4 linked regions of the Drosophila melanogaster genome follow. The protein of the gene in region 4 interacts with the protein of the main gene of each other region in a pairwise test. Each region holds a gene or a part of one and is shown on either strand. Other genes may lie near its edges.

Evidence for each region.
Region 1: the proteins of stck (region 4) and slow interact in a two-hybrid assay, tested with the Drosophila melanogaster proteins (one large-scale study listed by BioGRID).
Region 2: the proteins of stck (region 4) and 4E-T interact in a two-hybrid assay, tested with the Drosophila melanogaster proteins (one large-scale study listed by BioGRID).
Region 3: the proteins of stck (region 4) and CG13159 interact in a two-hybrid assay, tested with the Drosophila melanogaster proteins (one large-scale study listed by BioGRID).

The regions. Positions count from the first base shown.
Region 1 is NT_037436.4:4,382,481-4,387,444, forward strand, and holds the start of slow (slowdown), read left to right. Parts: upstream 1-1,961; 5' UTR 1,962-2,147; exon of another isoform or gene 2,148-2,407; intron 2,408-4,964.
Region 2 is NC_004353.4:952,366-960,157, reverse strand, and holds the start of 4E-T (eIF4E-Transporter), read left to right. Parts: upstream 1-1,765; 5' UTR 1,766-2,126; coding exon 2,127-2,152; intron 2,153-2,268; coding exon 2,269-3,613; intron 3,614-5,107; coding exon 5,108-5,237; intron 5,238-5,294; coding exon 5,295-5,669; intron 5,670-5,931; coding exon 5,932-6,138; intron 6,139-6,258; coding exon 6,259-6,645; intron 6,646-7,696; coding exon 7,697-7,792. UniProt on the Drosophila melanogaster protein: eIF4E1-binding protein that regulates translation and stability of mRNAs in processing bodies (P-bodies). Probably plays a role in P-bodies to coordinate the storage of translationally inactive mRNAs in the cytoplasm and prevent their degradation.
Region 3 is NT_033778.4:12,373,476-12,376,211, reverse strand, and holds CG13159 (uncharacterized protein), read right to left. Parts: upstream 927-2,736; 5' UTR 844-926; coding exon 613-843; 3' UTR 534-612; downstream 1-533. Other genes in the region: CG13160 (uncharacterized protein), read right to left, coding at 1,171-1,338, 1,391-1,882, 1,946-2,089, 2,143-2,327, 2,384-2,564, 2,622-2,736.
Region 4 is NT_033777.3:8,356,473-8,360,483, reverse strand, and holds stck (steamer duck), read right to left. Parts: upstream 2,157-4,011; 5' UTR 2,103-2,156; coding exon 2,080-2,102; intron 2,014-2,079; coding exon 1,894-2,013; intron 1,836-1,893; coding exon 1,530-1,835; intron 1,476-1,529; coding exon 1,334-1,475; intron 1,278-1,333; coding exon 1,019-1,277; intron 955-1,018; coding exon 758-954; 3' UTR 524-757; downstream 1-523. Other genes in the region: veneno, read left to right, coding at 1-183, 238-389.

The sequences.
Region 1 (4,964 bases), on a different chromosome or scaffold from region 4:
TAACAATCGTAACGAAGTTATGGTTCTTAACCTTAGTAAACCTTTTAAGCATGGCTTGTCTTTCATACTTCTCATTAAAAATATATTGCCTGTAACAAAATCGAATCCATTATGCTTTCCCACCTAAACCAGTTAAGAAGATACACTTTGGCCACATGTTGTCGGTCATCAAATGGCTGTCAAATTACCTAAACTCCAATGCAGAGCTGCTGCAACTGATGAAAAAGATCGTGATTATGACGAAGGCGATGGGCAACCCACACGAAATGCTAATGAATTGTTATCAGTTAATTGTCTGAGCGGGGTACCCGGCTTTGTTATCTCAGCTCTTATGCTTTTATGCTTTATTTGAATTCGATTTGGGAACGCGGCGTGGGTGTTCCCCAAACCCAAAGTCCCCACTCAAGTGGCAGCTAATAGCCCAATAAATTGTGATTGTCGGCGGCGAGGAAACCGAAGCAACACACACATAATATTAAGAGAAGACCGTAGTACCTTTGTGCAGCTAAGCGAACTGTCAATGGCTGGCACATTGTTCGATTTATGACCATTCTGTTGGCCAGGGAATGTGCAACCAGTTTATGGGATGGATTCGCACGGACGAATGCTGAATGCTGGATGTTCCACAGCGCAGGCGCAAATCCTTTTGACATGTCCAATGTGCTCAGCATTTAGACAGTGGGCAGCTATTCTGTTGCCAGTGGCTAATAGTATGTGGCAATGCACTTGGCGAAACTATTGTATCTAGCACAATCAAAAAAGTTATATACAAAAGTGATTATGCTTAAGGAAAGTACTGTACATATATAATATAACAGACTTACTTAGGACATGAATTAAAGTACATTTAAAACCTTTATCATGTTTAACCCATGAATTTTTGATTAAATCTAGACTTAGTGGCATTTTTCGAGTGTGGTTGACAGTAGCACTCTTATGATGACAACGACAGATCCAGCACCCGATATGGACAGAAGGGCTGGAAACGAGTTCTTCTTCGCTCTGGGACTCGGATTCTCGATGTGAAAGATCAGCGAGCCGTGGCCTAAACTGGCTGCCCGGCAGCGGTGGGTAAATATTTAACTTAACAACTTGCCACCGACCGAAGAAGATGCAACAAAAGCAGCCGTGGCCGCAAGAACAACAACGGCGGACCATAAAAAGCACAAACCGCAACTTCCAAATAGTTTGAACTGTGCAGAGAGTGCAGAGATGATCCTCCTATAAACAAAACAGCTGTAACGCACTCAAAAACCAGCCAACGACCAGCCGAGGGCATACCTGCCCACTGCGCCGCCCACCACCCACCACTGCGCCCCTCAGCCCCACCACAAAGAGTTCTTCCGCCTGGCGAATTCATCCGCTCCACAGTTGCATCGAACAAAGGAAGCCAACTTGTGCCCCCATCGGTCCAATTTCGTTTGAGCGAACCAGCCAATGTGCACCGAACATGGGCTTCGACTGGTCTGACAGTGCAGACCAGCTGGCTATTTCTAGCTGTAAAAAAATATATACAGATTATATACAGACTAATAAGAATACACCTGAGAAACATATTAAAATTCCACTGATATTTAGCAAGATAAATTGAGTAGTAAAATCTTACATATTTGTAGAAGTTTGTGTGGCTTCTTATTTTAGAGAAATTTACCCTTTTCAAAATTTTGCTAAAATATCAGGTAAAGATATTTTTAAAAACAAATATATATGTAGATTTCAGAAAACTCGACGTATTTTCTACGGCATCTACAGTTATCCCGATTCCAAAGAAGTAAACAAAAAGTAAAGTGTGCTACTGATATATGAATGAATCAATGTTTAAGAAAATAACTAAATATTTACCGATGTTCGGAGTGTTCAGAGTATACAATCTATATACTTTTGGCTCCACTTTCCGACTGCACTGGCAGCGCCGTCGATCGCCGATCGTTAACTGGACTTTCGGTTTCGGCTGTGCATTTTCAGTTCGTCTCGGGACTTCTAAGCGATCGGTTTGGATTTCGTTAGCTCCGCCGCGCCAGCTGGAAATTTGTATCTCAAAGATCGCAGCCAGTTCGCTCGGTTTTTGTGCCTGGCATACGGAAGCGGCTAACGCAGAATCCGGAAAATCACAAGAGCCGTATATATTTCACAAATATATATATATAGTATGTTTCGAAAAGGCCCATTCACGGCCATTAAAATATTTTATTGTACAAAAAAGGCACAGTGCCGCGTATCTGCTTAATGTCAGCGCGAAAACTCAATTCAATTTATTGTTTGTGATTGCAAATTTGGCATAATTGTGCTTTGATTTATTCGCGCGTGTTTCGGGTCATCTCTATAAAGAGGAATTTTAAATCTGGGCAAGATTATCTCTGTTTTTCTCTGAACACTGGCTGGGTCAGTTGGAATTTGTTCGCCGTGTGTAAGTCACATGCAAATAGCTTTAATTAATTGCAATTACTTATGATTTGAATGTGTGTCAAAGCGCGGTGCGACATTTCCTAGTGCATTAATCTTGCTCAAAATCGCATTGCCTATCCTGTCTAGGAGTTACATGTCACTTATGGACGTAATTTGCATTTTTGTGGAGCGGCTAACTAAGTTGGCTTACCATTTACATATGCGCTTTGGCTGCCAAACAATGCCATAAATGGTCTAAGAATTAATTATCGTGAGAACTTCAAGACAATGTCTTTATTAAATAATTGTCAATAATTCTGAGTAGTTTTCAATGTACAATTTGTGATAATTTTCTTGGTAATTTTCTACGGTAATTTGCACCTTGATAAAAAGTGTTTAAGACAGTGTAATTTGTTTCCGTGTTTTCTTCAATGCAAATTATTTATTTCGAAATGGCAATAAATTGCTCAATAAATTTTATTTCTTTCAACAATGATCTGATAAAGGATTAATTCATTGCTTCGTTTTTGCGTAAACAAAGATTGTTCTGCGGAAATCTTGTAATTTATTTTTACTCTTTTAGATAAGTTTAAAATATATATATTTTATATAACCATTTTTCTTCACTATCGAAATGAACATTTTATAGCCCAACATTATTGCTGACATGAATGCAACCAAAATAAATATGTAAATCTTGTGACGTTATCGCCATCAAAAATTAGTGTAAATAATGTGACAAAGCGGAAAACGACACAAATCAAAAATAGATGTATCAATACTTTCCATTGTTTAGACTAGTTTGGCTAACAATTATGCATACATATGGCTAAATGAGTTTCGTTTTTTTTTTGTTTGCCCCAACGTGCATTCTGCATTCTCACACATATCGTTTGGCAGGTGAGCAATCAGAAATCGAAGTTTGGGGCACGATCCGTGGAAAGCGATCGTGCCTTTCTGCGTATCATAGTGTCTATACAAATGTTATTATGGTTAACGCCACTGGAAAGTGGGGTGGAGTTTGTTGTTGGTTTTCTTGTTTTTCCTCGACTTTGCTAATTAGACAAAGTCATTTCCATAAATTACGCAGCTAACGGTAACTGGGTTTATGACTTTTGTCCGGCTTGGTCGCGGGTCAACATGAACCATAGCTATATGCATACATATATATGGATATATACTATTTGTTCATATGGGCAATGGGTCTGCGGGGCACGTGTGGGCGTGGCCTCCGCCCCCTTGCAGCTGCAAAGCAATTAGCAAAAGACTGGACATGCCAGCAAATTGAGCTCTGCTGTTGCAGTTTTTCCTTTGGCCTTTTTTGGGTCGCTGCAATTGTTATTGAAATGAGTTTTCGCGTTAAAAACAGTTGAACTTGCTGGAAAAAGGTACATGTATCTCACAGTTATCGATCACAAATGAGTAATTGGCCATTAGAAACGGAATATGGTCACAGGATATCAAATAAAATGAAATTATTATTGAAGGCTATACTCAGCAGTATCTGTAATTATAAATCCATTAAATCTAAAATTGTGCAATATTTTTCTCAGTGTGCTAAAGGGGGTTGGTGAGGCATGCGACTTTTGAGATGTCAAACTGTCGATGTTGAACACGTTGCATAGTTTTCGCTTTTCATCTCCGACTTTGTTAGGGAAGAAACGCAGCCACAAAGGCCAACAACATTCCTTAAATTGGATTGAAAGTAACAAAGTGAAGTGTAAACAAAAATTGCGATCGATACCCCCCCCCCCCCCCCGCCGTTTTGTTGATCTTGTTAAAAAATAAAAACATTCGCAATGAAATAGTGGGGAGGCAACGTCGAAAGTAAACGAGATACAAACTCCGCGGAAATGTGTCATGATCTTGCAATATTAAAGACAGCGACACAATATCAACAAATGAAACACAAAACAGCACACACTATTAAACCACATGCGAGTATTTTGTTGGCCGTGATTTTTCTACCCATCACGGCTGTCATGGCTGTCTTGGTTGTCTCGTGGGAAAAATCAAGATGAGCCCGGCAGCCAGAACAATAAACAAAGCCAAGGAATGAATGAAATGTGTAACCCCGACGCAAATATTTGGCAATATGTCAGATAAGATATATTCGATAATTTCCCATCGCACTGGGTTATTGAACTCAGAGAGCAGCGTGAAAATTATATCGACAGTGGGTGGCTTTTCTTTCGCCTTTTCCCACCCCATTTTCTCACACAATTCTCCGGGTGCGATCGATCGTACGGTGCAGTGCAGTTTTCCCGAGATCTAAGGCATTTTGCGGCCCATCTCGGCTGTCTAGATAATGTTAATAAAAGCAGCGTTGAAAAGCGTTTGCAACAGCAACAAATTGGAAAATTTGAATTTTCCTCGAGCGGCCATTAAAGAAAAGCTGCAGAGTTACCAAACAATTGCTGGGCTGTTTGGGGATTCTCCTCGGCAGGCGGCGTTAAGCTTTTAGTTTATCTCTTTATAAGAACTTGAGGAGCGGCCCCGATTACACAAAACATAAATAAAAACGCAAGCTAAACTGGCAGCTGTTTGGAATTGCACAAAAAAAAAGAAAATGTTAAAAA
Region 2 (7,792 bases), on a different chromosome or scaffold from region 4:
CCCTTGGACATGGTATGTGACGACAAATTCTCACCATACGAAAAATATGAAAAACTTTGATTTTTAATAACTCGACATATGGCTTTATTTGTACCACATTTCTTCGTACTGTGCCATACCATCCCTATTTTGCCATCCTTACGATACCGCCGTCATTATCTTCATTAATGGGTGGGTAGAGACCGTTAGGTCAATGCAGGACGGCATATAGAAATTGGGTGACGCACTCTTAGACCATAACCAAAACTATCGTATATTCTCAAAAAAAGGGGACTATGACTATAAAAATAGCTATGTATTTAACTCTAAACCTCTATAGATTTTGATAGACCATGACATTGTGTGGAACATGATGTCATTTTCTAGACATTGTGCACGAAGATCATTCCCGAAGTCGACCGAACACTTATTCCGTGCATGTTTCATCAGACCGCCGGCAGCATATTTTAGCGTTAGGCGTGCACTTCCTTGTATAACTGTGTACACCTACAAAAAATTTCAAAATCAATCTATCGGGCACGCTCCGTTAATCGAAGTACTTTACGATTTCGATTTTAAAGATTGGTGCTCCGGTTTTCAAATTCGTAAGGATTTTCGATGTGTATAACGGGCACTTTTGTCTGGCCGAAATGAAAAGTATATGCCCATTTTTATATCACGTTAGATCTTAACCAAGGGAAAAAATAGTTCAGTAGTCTATTGATTTATATTCATTAGTTATTTTATATACAATTTATTTCTGACCCCATCAAAAATTTGATATACAAAATTTTGCTGTCGGCAACAAAAATTTTCGATTTGGCATTTTAAAACGCAAGATCGGTGCTCCGGTTTTCAAATTCGTAAGGATTTTTCGATTTGTAAAACGGACACTTTTGTCTGGCCGAAATGAAAAGTATATGCCCATTTTTATATCACGTAAGATATTATTTACCAAGGGAAAAAATAGTTTACTCAGTGGTCTATTGATTTATATTAATTATTTATATTCATTATTTATTTTATATACAATTTATTTCTGACCCCATTAAAAATTTGACATACAAAATTTTGCCGTCGGCAAAAAAAATTTTCGATTTGGCATGGGGTCATGCGTGCGTCGACTAAACTTACTTATAAAATATAAAAGAATTAATTATCTTAATTTAAAAGATGGCCTATAGTGTTCGTAAGTAATGCTATTTAATTTAATTAATTAAACGGTCAAAATGCAGTAAAAAATTAAATGCGAACATCGGAATTAAAATTGTGAAAAAGGTGTCCGCTGGAAAACAGCTTAAACAGCTGTTTACTGTACAGAAAACACTCCGACAGCAAAAAATTTTACGAAATCAAATCGAATTCGGAAACAAATTACGATTATTCGGTAATGCATGCCTGATTATAATTTCTTGATTTGTTTTATATTAAATTTAAAATTTAATAGTTTAATAATATAAAAATATTCTTATTTATATTATATATTATGAGTATTTCAAATGTAAATAATCATATAAACTATTTTATAAAACATCGACGTTACATAAATAAAATTTATTTTTTGTTTTTCAAGTGTAAATAATAATATTAATCATTTTAGAAAACATTCGGCACCTTTACTCGACGCTCATACGAACGGACAGATATGCTTAGTCTGGTATCGCTTTAGCACCAGTAGGAAAAACCTAGAATTTCTTTTCCCACAAATGTCACAACTTCAAAATTCCATTGTTTCACGGTGTTTCTCTTTTAATGTTTCAATATTAATATATATAATGCCTTAAGGTTCAATAAGAACAAAATATTTTCAATGTCTATATCCCACTCCAATTTAGCGTGATATTCACAAAGCTAATCGCAACATTGTGAGCATTAAAAATTGTTATATATGTATGTAAGCGTCTTGGGATTATATTCTCATGAAACTCAACAGTCATATATATGGCCTTAAAATACGTATATATATATATATATATTAATTTTTCAAAGTGTGTGTTTGCATAAGTGGTGTGTACTATTTGTATATTCATTGTACAATTTCTCCCGTTCATATAGGAGAGTGTTCTGTTTTTAATAATTTTGGATATCTTAACTTTTTCGACTTTCTGTAATAAGTTAGATTACACAGTGAACTATAGTCCTTAGCAATGGATACATCAAAGATTAGTGCCAGGTATGTGGATTAAATATTGGTAAATTTTAGTCAACTTTTTCGATATTATTCTCGCGTACTGTTTTTTTAAACTTGTATATGTACTAACATTGTTTTAACAATCTGTTTCACATTAGGTACTCGAAAGTAGACCTGTTAGCTCTAAGATATGAAGGTAAAAGTCGACAGCGCCCGCAATGTTCAACACGACTTGAATTGCAGACGCTAGGTTTTTGGAAAATTAATCTGAACACAGCTGCGTTAACCGTGTCCAGCGCCTATTCTAATCAAAACAAGAATCGACTTTCTCCAGAAGCAGATAACTCGAGCTTAATTTGTTCCAATAGTAGCTCAATAAGTTCACGTCGCGCTATGAGAAATCGAGAACGGGCAAACAACTATTACCAGCGCTTCGTACCTACCGATTCTCTTCTAATAAGTGGGGAGGATAAAGATAAGGATGCGCTTTCTCATGGACAGCCCTATAAGTTGAATATCATCGATCACCGTAGCATATCATCTTCACATTTAATGCCGGCATTTGCAAAGAGGCGTTTTGTCATATCGAAAGGCAGCAACAGCGAGGAAAGCAACGAGGGGATAAACACTTGTGCAAGCAAGGGCAAGGCAGCCAGTTCGCCTAGCCGTAAGGGTAGCGAGTTGGATACTGCTGAGACATGTTTGAATTTTGTTCAGCCGGATCACGACCAATGCATGTCATCTTCACCTACATTTTCAACATCCCGCCAAGAAAGGCGGATTGGTAGCGGTCGGCTGTTGCCAAGAAGTGATAATTGGGATTACAAAAACGAAAAGACCGTAGAAGCCAGCATTGAGAATGAAAAGGAAACATCTCCAAATGGATCTGGAAGTACAAGCAGTCTTAATCAGCACAATCAAAGCCAACATCGTTCTCGAACATTCAGTGGAAGGTTAGTTGAACGTGTTCCCGAAGTCACAGATCGTCGTTTTCAATATGACTCCAAAAAGTCTTTTGATCGTCAGGGAATTAATAATCGACGCATTTCTGGTAAGGAGCCTTTCAGTACTCAAAGCCGAAGCAAGCGTGGCAATTCCTATCTCATTCACGAAGAACCTGAATGGTTCAGTGCAGGACCTAAATCACAGCTAGAAACTATTGATCTACACGGGTTTGAAGACCTGGAAAAAAACGAAGAGCGATCCGTAACTGAAGATAAAAATAATCAAATTCAACAACTTGATAAAAATTTAGACGCGCAAGCAAGCAAAGATGAAGCTTCGATGAGAAACAGCAATGATAGTTTAAATTTCCGCGAAGTCATTCCAAGTGATGAAAAGAAGCACACTGACGAAAATGTAGTGACTTCTATTCAAAACTCAACAGATCTCGGCCATCCCAATAAAAACAAACCAATTCAGATGCAGCCCAGTCAGAATCCTGAAAGTGAATTTAATTTTGATGCCTTTCTTAATATGCATCCCTTGGATAATTCCGTTTTGGTAAATATATTGCAAAAACTAGATTTTAAGGAATGAGTACCTAATCCATTCAGACATTACATGGACAACTTCCGGGTTACCTTTTATTGACGGATCAATAATAGTATTCAAATAAGCTGTAAATAATGATATTAACTCCCGTTACTCAAGTAAAGGGTAAAGAGTTAAAGGGTATACTAGATTCGTTGAAAAGTATGTAAACTATATATTCTTGATCAGGATCAATAGCCGAGTCGAACTGGCCATGTCCGTCTGTCCGTATGAACGTCGAGATCTCAGGAACTAAAAAAACTAGTATGTTGCAATTTAGCATACAGATTATAGATACGAAGACGCAGCACAAGCAAAGACACTAGAATAACAAGATGCGTAACGGCCATACATTGGTTTTGCACTATGCAGCCAATTTTTTAGTGACGGCCAAAATTGCTCTCTTTCCGCTCGCTCCCGCTGAGAGCATAAGAAATCTAAAAATAGAATTTGCTTGCTTGTGTGAGTAAAAACAAGAGACGAGAACGCATATATGTGTGCGTGTTGTGCTAGAAGACGATTTTCGGACCGAAATCAATTCTGATCAAAGAAACGAATTTACATTGTACATATTAGGGTAGTTTTTGTCAATTTCGTAGCAATATGATAAAATAAAATAATTTTTAACTGACTATTATCATTTTAAAGCTTTTTAAATTTGTTTGTTAAAATCGCCGCTCGAATTAGCTACCGTTTACACATTTATATTTATGTTTAATTCTAATTTGTCTCTCATCTGACAATTTTTTAAAAGCGAAATATTTTTTTTTTTAAACACTTTTAATGTTAATGTTACATCATATTAAGTCAAATGACATAATAAATATAGTAAATAATTAAATATGATAACTGTTTATTGCAAAAGTCATATCAAAGACACTAGAATTATTCTAGTGTCTTTGCTTTGTTCATATCTTGAAGCACGAAGTACGGACACAAGCACTCAACAATCATTGCCTTATTAATTTTTCACACGCCGCAAGATGAATACTCTAATGACAAATATTCTTATATAAAGTCATTTTTGAAATTTATTTTTGTGATAATATGTACATAGATTTGGCTATTTCTAATCTATTTTCATATAATAATAACGTTAAGGCAATGCAAAACAAGAATTTTTCGCATGGTGCCAATTGATCAAAAATAATATAGATTTAAAGTCAAAGAACTTCTAAGGTGAAGGGCATATTTTGTGAAATTTACAATGCATGAGCATGCCTGTGTACACATACAGTTGTCTGCTATCACTTTATGCGTTAAAAACAAACAAACAAACCGCCCAGAACTGCCACGCCAACATTTTTGAAAAATGTTCTGATATTTTTTCATATTTTTATTAGTCTAGTAAATTTCTATGGATTTGCAAAAAAAAAAGTTTGCCCCGGCAACTCTAATACCCTAGAATTTATATTTTAAAGGTAAGCTTATTAATTTTAAGATATATTTATTGTACATTTGCAGAGTAATGATGAAACTGGAAAAAGTGACTCAAAAGGAACATCCCGTTTTAGCCGATGGTTTCGACAAAAAGAAGCTGCAAATAATAATGAGTTTCCAGGGTTTCGGGAATCGCATGCTCAAGAAAAACGTGGTATGTCAAGATTTGTAATAATATATCAAAGGCCTTATAGTTCACTTTGTTCTTAAGGTATTCCAAGTGTTAAGGATCTGGAAGCTCAAATGATAAAAGTGGATATGAGGACTGATTTAATAAATCCAATAGCAGGGTCATTATGTCAGACAGTGCAAATGGAAAAACCTATTGCTAGAGACACTGAGGCATTCAAAAAACTTTTGCAACAGTTGGGTTCTCAAGCCAGGCAGCATCATCCATGCAACGACGATTGTCGTACAATAAACCTCTCAAATATAGCAAATCATGTACACCTTGAGTCAAAATTACATCAAAAAATAAATGATGGTCATTTGCAGCAACCAGAGTTAAGTGTTAACGTGCCAACCATGCCAACTAGTAGTCATGTATTTTTGCAAAAGCGTTTGGAAATCCAACATTTAATTCAAAGTAAGATATGTTTCAAAATTCCATGTCTATAAACTTTTTCTTGAATACTTAAGTCCTTTTTCTTGTCCTTATGGTAAAATAATATAAGGTTTCTGGCTGATAAAACACATGAATGTTACAGTTTACCATATACATGTTTACCATCAGAACGGGAACTTATTTAAAGCGTATCTGGTAAAAACCACGTGTTCTTATTTTAATGCTTTTATACCCTGCGCTGTATTTAAATATTATGAAAAACAAAATGTTTAATAATAAATAGGACTTCATTGTGGAGACGTTTCACATGATTTTTTGGAAAAAGAATTGGATAATCCCAGCACCCCAGCAGCCACAAAGGATGTCATTGCCACAGTGTTGAATGAATATTCTCATTCTAAAAGAAATCCGGTGGTCACAGGCGATCCCAATATTTTTACCCAACAATCGTTTCTTCAGCCTCAATCAGTCCATCAGCACTACTCTCAAGGTAAGTAATTCTTGGTTATATGGTAACTCTTTAAAATTCAATTAATATAATATTTGATTCAGTTAAAGTATCTTATTTATTACTAAAATTATTTGTAAAAATTCCTTAATTTTTTTCTAGAATTGCATTCGCAAAATACTGCTAACCATACGATTAATCAGCTAATTTCCCACGGTAACTCTCCAACTCCGTTGGCATTTACTCCTACTTCAGTTTTAAGAAAAATGACAGCCGATAAGGATACGCAATCACCAAGCACTTATTGTCAGAACCCACAATATCATGTACACCAACAAAATGCCAAGCAAGTCGGTACTCGTGAGAACGTACTTGAGCCACAGCTGACCGCAACAATGGCTGTACAGCCCCGAATGATATTAGGCGGTGGAAACTTTGCCATTGGCCAAAACAATCAACATTTGTCTCCCAACATGTCACAAAGTCGTAATCAACAAGTGTTAAAGTGGACTTCTGGCAATATGCAAATGGTCCACGGAAAAACATTTGGTAAGTTACACAAAAAAGTGTTAGCTATTATTAAAGTACATTTATTAGTTAAAGCTTTGTTTTTTTTTTTTTGCTATAAGTTTTTTTTACTCGTTCTCATAAACTTAATGTAAATGTATATGAATTTCAAGAGAAATTATAAAAATCGTTGAGTTACCATAAAAAGCGTGCAAATACGCAAATACAAAATTCAGTTCTTAAAAGAGGATAGTATAGGATAGGAGAAAGTGGATGCTTTTTATACCCGTTACCCGTAGCGTAAAAGCAAAGACATTAGAATAACAAGATACGTAACGGCCATATATTGGTTTTGCCAAAGACATTAGAATGACGAGTAACGCCATACGTTTTTTAGGATTTTTGTTGACTTTTTCATCAATTTATTAGTCTCTTAATCAAGTAAATTTTCAAAAGTTTTGGTGGCTTTGTGGGCGTGGCAGTTTTGGCCTGTTTGTGGGCCTTAGAGTGTCCGCAGCATCATGACTCTCTCAAGCTTCTCAACTCTCTAGCTTCTATAGCTCCTGAGATCTCGATGGCCAGATCGACTCGGCTATTGATCCTGATCAAGAATATATATACTTTATATGGTCGGAAACGCTTCTTTCTGCCTGTTACATTCTTTAAAACGAATATAGTATATCTCTACGAGAACCGGGTGTAAATATACAACCTGTAGAATAGCTAAATTGGCTTTTTGAGACACGACGTGCGTGCACGTATATACTTACATAATATAGAGAGTATTTTTTAATAGACCAAAAAATAAATATTCATATACACAGTTTGCTTAATTTATATTCTGTGCAAGAAGTGTACCCTACAATTTTGATTATTCTTGACTTATTGGGGTAATGAAAATTACGATTATTTAGTGGAATTTTTTGAAGTGGACTTTGTTTTAATGTAGTTATCTGTGACCCAAAGCAATATTTTATTCTCTAGGAATAAATATCTTTGTTAAACAACGCGATATAATAAACTTGAGATCTTCGACTTCTGTATTAATGGGTTCAAAGACTTACACATTATTATTTTGACTTACATATTTTAGGCCGACCTATTCTGAAAGGAGGTCTTAATTCAATGCCGCATTCCAATTCTGCACTTCCTTTTACTGCCCATAAAATTGAAATGCAACCCATTCATC
Region 3 (2,736 bases), on a different chromosome or scaffold from region 4:
TCCTAGCTAGCCATCGCCCACTGTGCACCTGTATTGCGAGGGGCGTTGGAGGCACTATGATCATCTCGGATCGTGTTGAACATGACCAGCTTGACATTCATAACTCATCCTCGGCAGCGTGAGAGGAATAGGGACAGACTGCTGCATTCCTACATCAATTTGTCAGTGCAGTCATTAGACATTTGACTCAACGGCTTGATGATCATCATTGGCGGGATTATGACTGCCACCTGACCATGATCATGTCTGGCTGGCCAACTGACTTACTCACCAGCTAACTGAATGTGGCAAGTGCCGCTTGACCTTTGCGGCAGCCGAACAGATGTTTCTTGAACAGGTCCGGCCAAAAGGCGGTAATGCCTGAGCCGGGGCGTTCCGTTGCCAGTTGAGCAAATGTCAGTTACCGCCGAAGTAGAAATGGAGGTGGAGGTGGAAGTAAAGCCCCAAATGTCCCACCGCCCAATGCTACGTGAGATGGTTAACTTCGATTGCGGTATTGTGTGAGAGCAAGAGACGGCGCTTGTTTGTTTTTTGGTATTTGGTGTTTTTATTTGGCTATTCAGGTGATGAGGATCGTATCAAGTGGCAGCATCGTGGATCGGATGGGCGGCTCTATCCGGACTTCTTGTTGAACAGCAGGGACAGGAGCTGTTGCTTGATTGGCTTAGTGGTGGTGGTGTCCGTGGTGTAGGTGTAGGTGGGGTAGGTCGGGGTGGTAGTATAGGTGTACGTCGTCGTCGTGGGCGAAGAGGGCGTTGTGGGAGTGCTGGTTGTAGTTGCGGTAGATGCCATTGCGATGGCCAGGACAGCGGAGAAACAGACGAGGACAGCGAAGAACTTCATGTTGATTGGATTTTTTGGGCTTTTAGGATTGCTGGCTGGCTGTTGCTTATCGACGGACGAGCTGCTGAACTCTGAGTGTGTCTTTCGCTGGTCCAGGCCTCACTATTTATACCCATATTTTGACTGCGGCAGTCGTAGTATTCCCTGTAATGTTTGCACAAATGGTTCCTTTACCGTTTGCTACATTGCTAGCTTTCCCCCACCAATGTTTACCGACCAACTCATTGTGAAATGCATCCAATGTTTGATCCCCTTCCATTTTCCGAAAAATAAAAGTTTTTCGGGTTGGGAGTGTCAATGACTTGGTATTCTTATTAGCTAACTATCCTAGAATATATGCCGTTCGTAGCTACTGGGCCACTCCATCGAGAAGGCAAAGTCCGGAAGTGTGGCAAGGAACTCCAGGCTCAACGCATCCCGCTTATCATGTGGACTGACATAGTGTCCAGAGACGCCCATCTCAAAGACGGGTTCATTGAAGTTGCCATCGTCCTTCTAAGAATCAGTTAGTTAGTATAGTTATCAGAACGACCCATTAAATACGCACAGAAAGTTCCACGAAGAATTCGATGGGAGTGTTATCAATACCGTAGGTTAACATGACCTCCAGAGGAGGCCTGTAAGTGGCCGGATTATCCAGCATTGCGGGAGCAAACGTCCATCGGAGTAGTTTTACACCATCCAGTGGCTTGAAGAACAGACCCATATTTGGCGGACCAGTTAGCCGGAACTCATAGCGCACCTGATAGCCACCGGACAGAACTGTCTTGCTAAGGAACTCCAAGACCGTTGGATAAGGCAGTTCCACGGGCTCCTCTCGAGCAAGCCAAAGTGCATGCTCCCGGGCACTACAATATCGGTAGCAGGGAATACCGCACATCAGCTCGGAGTCGCAATCCTCGCCCAGGCGTACCAGGTTGGTCAGGTTCATGTGATCGCGCAGAGGTGCCTCTTTGTTTCGATCCCCCAGATGGAAGTAGTAGCCAGAATCCTCGTGGCTGATGGAACCATTGTACTCGAAAAATTTGCGATGCACTTGCTGCTCCGACAAAGAATAGAACTTAGTCGTCTTTCAAAGGATGCTTATTAGTGTTTCCCTTACCATGAAGTCGGCACGCATGACATTTGTTTTGGGCCGATACGGGAATCCGACATCCGAGACGGCAATCATGCAGAAAATAAACATAACCAGTGCCAGACCACCCAGCATGCAGTTCGGTCGCCGAAAGACATTGATTAAAGGAGCCTAAGTGAAACTGATTAAGTAAAGTAGTCAATAAATGTGAATAACTTTCTTACAGCAAAAGATAACGCCAAAATTGTGCCAAAACCACATAGAGCGCCGATTAGTATATCCGGATTGGTGGAGACGCCAAAGCGACCAGTCATCGGAATGAGAATAAGTATGAACATGTGGAACAAGTAGGCGTGGTAAATGAAGGGTATAATCTGGAAAACAATCAGCACCAGTGACCACAGATAACCTAAAGTGTTGGCATGAATCATTAAAAGTTCTCCACGAATATATAAGCTAACTTACCGCGACAATGGAGACGGGTCAGTAGGTTAATGATCAGAGCAGCAACGTAGAAAATGAGAGAGATCAGAAATAGATAGGCACTACGGTATTTAAGAGCCGTTGCACCCAAACACAAGATGGCCAAAAGGACACAGTTCGCGTGACCCACAATATGCAAGTAATAAGTATGGGGGATCTTGTTCTGCAGAGGATAGCTTAGTATAACAAAATAACTTCGTTAACAAGTGATACTACTTACACACTTCGTATGCGTCAAGTAGAGGGTCATGGGCAGTACAAGGCCAATAACCGATGGACAAATGTACAACCCAATGACCAGCCAACTGTTGCTAAAATAGGTCAACGTTCTATTT
Region 4 (4,011 bases):
GATTTGAGGGTTCCTGGTATCGTGGCAAAGTGGAACAGATTATAGTTGTTCCACGGCAGCAGACAAAGTACCGGGTAATGTACCTCGATTACACGAATGTAGAGGACATAACCGAAATGGATATCCGTCGCTATCCATTAGACTTCACCGCTCCCTGTGCCACAAACCTTTGCGTGATTGACGGTATGGATATTAAACATTTGTCTTGAGCATAACATTTGAACAAACACTTTATAGAATTCCCGCACAACCCGAATGCAGCACAGGTTTCCTATCTGGCTGAGGTTTTGAAGGTCCATCAGTCAGTTCATATTGATAGTATCAAATATATCAACCATATAGCCGTAATTAAATCGGGAAGTCTTATTCAGAAGCTGTTGAGCTTGTAAATTTTAAGTGCATCAAATGCCATTTACTTGACACCACAACTAAATCGGGTCAAACACATTACGAAGTTATTGCGAATAAGCATTACGTTTTATAATTTTAAAAACATTTATATATAAATAAAATTCCATTAAATAACAACGTTAAAGGCTTTTAATACACAATGTTATGTTCCCTAGCTATTGATGCCGTTGATTCTCGATTTAAAATTTAAGTTACACACAACCGGATTACAACAGACGGAAAGGACATGCACAAGAGGTTTTAGTTTGTTTGGTTTTAGTTTCTCAAATGTTAAAAATGGTAGTGAAAGCGGGTCTACAACGACAAAGGCACTGTTTGGTGTGGATCTGAGACTCGCTCCAAGGCATTAGGTGTTCTTTTTCATTGTCATCTCGTGGGCGGTGCGCAGACGTCGTCTGAGTTCGTTTGGAAATCGGTCATAGCACTTTTTGCACACCGGCTTCTCGTCGTACTCGTAGAATTTCGATTTTTGTGTCATCTTCGTGTCGCACACGGAGCACGCAAAGTGGTGCACACACCAGGCCTTGTTCAAGGCAGTGAAAACTGTTGGCATTATGGAATGAGCGCATTAAATAAACCCAGAATATAGTTCAATTAAGTTACTCACCATCGCCTCCAATAACCTGGTTGCAGACGAAGCACAGGTTGCCAAAGAGCTGATGATAGTGCGTCTCGCAGTAGGCCAATCCCCGCTTCTCGTAGTGTCGGTGACCCAAGAAGGGTTTCTCGCACTTGGCGCACACGAAATGTTCCACATGCCAGTGCTTTCCGAGCGCCGTTACCACCCTCTCCTCAATCGGACGACGACAGGCACCACATATGGGAATGCCCATTTTATCGTGACAACGCAGACAATACAGTTCGTTCTATAATGGAATAATAATTCAGTTGCTTCTTATTTGCTAAAGAAAAAAAAACCCACCATATCGTTAGCAGCCAATCCTGGCCGGCTCTTGACCTCCCGAGCAGTGGAATCCAACTCTGTGCCGCAGGCCGTGCAACTGAAGTGATAGCCGTGGTACACTTCGCCCCGGAATCGCAAAGGCTCCTCGTCGATGAGGCCGCTGAAAAGCAGAGTAATTAGCAACATGTTTTCACCTAAAGCCTTTGAAACCTACTGGCATTTTTGGCATACATAGCGGCCGGTAATCTCCGCCTTCACCTTGGCATTGCACTCGTGACACAAGGCGCGGTTCTGGTTCTTGATGAATCCGCAATCAGCCAGCTCCTTGGCGCACAATTGGCAGCGGAAGCACTGTGGATGCCAGCTAGCTGACATGGCCTTGATGACCCGTCCGATGACGAACTCGCCGCACTTGTTGCAGCAGGGAGCGAAGAGCACGTGAAAGTCGCGTTCACAGTACTTACGGCCCTCGAACTCGTAGAATATCCCATCCTGGAAGGGTCGGAAGCACTGGGCACATCTAGAAAATGTTTATTAGTGAGGGTATTAGTGAAACAACTACATTGAGGTTTACTTACACGAAGCACTGGGTGTGCCAGAGTTCTCCATTGGAGTTAACAATCTTCTCAGTCGGCTCGAAGCCGTCGGCACATCGCGTACAATGCATGGCACCCAGCGACATGTTCGCTGCCTGGACTCTGTGAATTAAGAAGAAGATCAGGATCAGTTGTTGGTAAGTAACTAACCAATTCAGAGGCCATTACACTTCAGCCTTAGAGTACATCATGGTTATAGCTTGAGCGCAAAGAAAAACGACTTTAGGGCAGGGCGTGAAATGAGAAACTGGACAAAACAATGAGACTTATCGCTTGCCGGCTCTGTTGACGATGTCTGAATCATATTTCCTTCGAATGCACAGCCAAAAAGCTTTCTGGCATTCCGTGGAAGTTTAGCTTTCATTACAGAGAGTGTCGCATGGCAGTTGGATATCAAGCGTGATACGCTGCAGATGTGATGGCTTGGTGATATATCGTTTCGGAACAGGTTATATATACATATATAAAATATATACGAAGAACTATCATATTCGCTTTAAGCTGGATAACAATGAATGGCTATAATGAGTAATTGAAGTAATTATTACAAGCAGGAGCGCCATTTGAAAAGTTTGTATATAAACAATATATATAATAAGATGTAACTATCAACTCCCCATTACTGGTTGAGTCATTGAACATTCCTTGGCCTCCAAAAGGGGTTACAAATTCAAGCATCCAATTGGAATTGGGTTTGCCGCCAACACAACAGCGGCCCACTCATCATAATCAAATCCGACGAATACACACAAAAATACGAAGAGTAAACAATACACAGACACGCACTCTCGCACAAACACACACACACACTCGAGTGGCGGCGTTTAAAAATAAATTTGAATATGACCATGACGTCATCGATGGAGTAAACATCTGGCAGGAAAATTGCATTGAATGGGGGTCCAAAGCACCACCATCACTGGCAGAGGGTTAACGCTGGATTAGGGCATGAATGATAGGCACTGCTAGCCTGAATTAGTTATATTTTTTTATTAATTAGCGAAATGCTTATTTGTGCGAATGGATAACGATGATTATTATGCTGCCAAATGATGCAATATGTGGGCGTTTTGAAGACAAGGACGTTAAGAAAGTGGGGCGGAACATTCTGCTTACTGCACGGGCGGCATTCTGTGGGCTTTTCTTTTTTAGTTGCTTTCAACTGGTTTTCACTTGCGAACAACGGCACCTGTTGCACCTGGTGTACAACGTTTTCTGATCACGGCGAGTGAAACACTGCAAAAACATATAGAAATGATCAATCTGTGTCTTTTGGCTTTAAGCTCTGCTCGCTTGGCGGCCTTCTAGCCAGATCCGGTTGATTTTCAGCCAAGAAGACGATCTGCGCAGCGCTATCGCAGCACAAAAACAACAACACCTATATTGCCAAAATGGGCAAATCTCTGGAATTTCACGCGTTTCACTTAAGCATGTTCACATTTGAAGAATTGCATTCAACGGAAAAAGTACTTTTTACCTTCAGAGAAACCTTTTTAATTAAAGCCACAGTTTGCTGCAATTAAATTACTTTTCATTTAACTAACAGCTTCCGTGGAAAAAGACGCAGAAAAAACCACTCTACTTTATCACTAAAAAATCCCTGTACAACCTGCCTATCGATAGCTCTTCTGTTCTCGAGGCAGGTAGCCCTGAATGTCAATCGATAAACACCCAATACTACTGGGCGCCAATTTAAATTCGCTATTAGCCTATGTTACCGAAATACATCAGTTAAAAGAACTTTACGATTTAAGGCGCCACGCTTATCGCAGCGTGGCATTTTTGCTTCTTTGTCTCACCTTCTTATCAGCTGCTGGCCAACTGCTGTTCTTCTTCGAAACAGTTTCGTAACGCGCTCTTATCAGCTTACTGCCTCTACTTATAATTTCACGTACTATTTGTTTGTAAACAAGACCGGTTCGCATGCCAATTTAGGCTGCAGGCAAGAAATCCCTTTAGCATTGAATTTGATTGATTTTCTTTTTGCTATGTTACACGCCAATTGGGGAAATACATAAATAAATGTGCAGGGAAACTATAAAAGAATTCAATGCCACAAATGTCATAACAGTTTCGCTGATACTTATCATTAGAAAATAT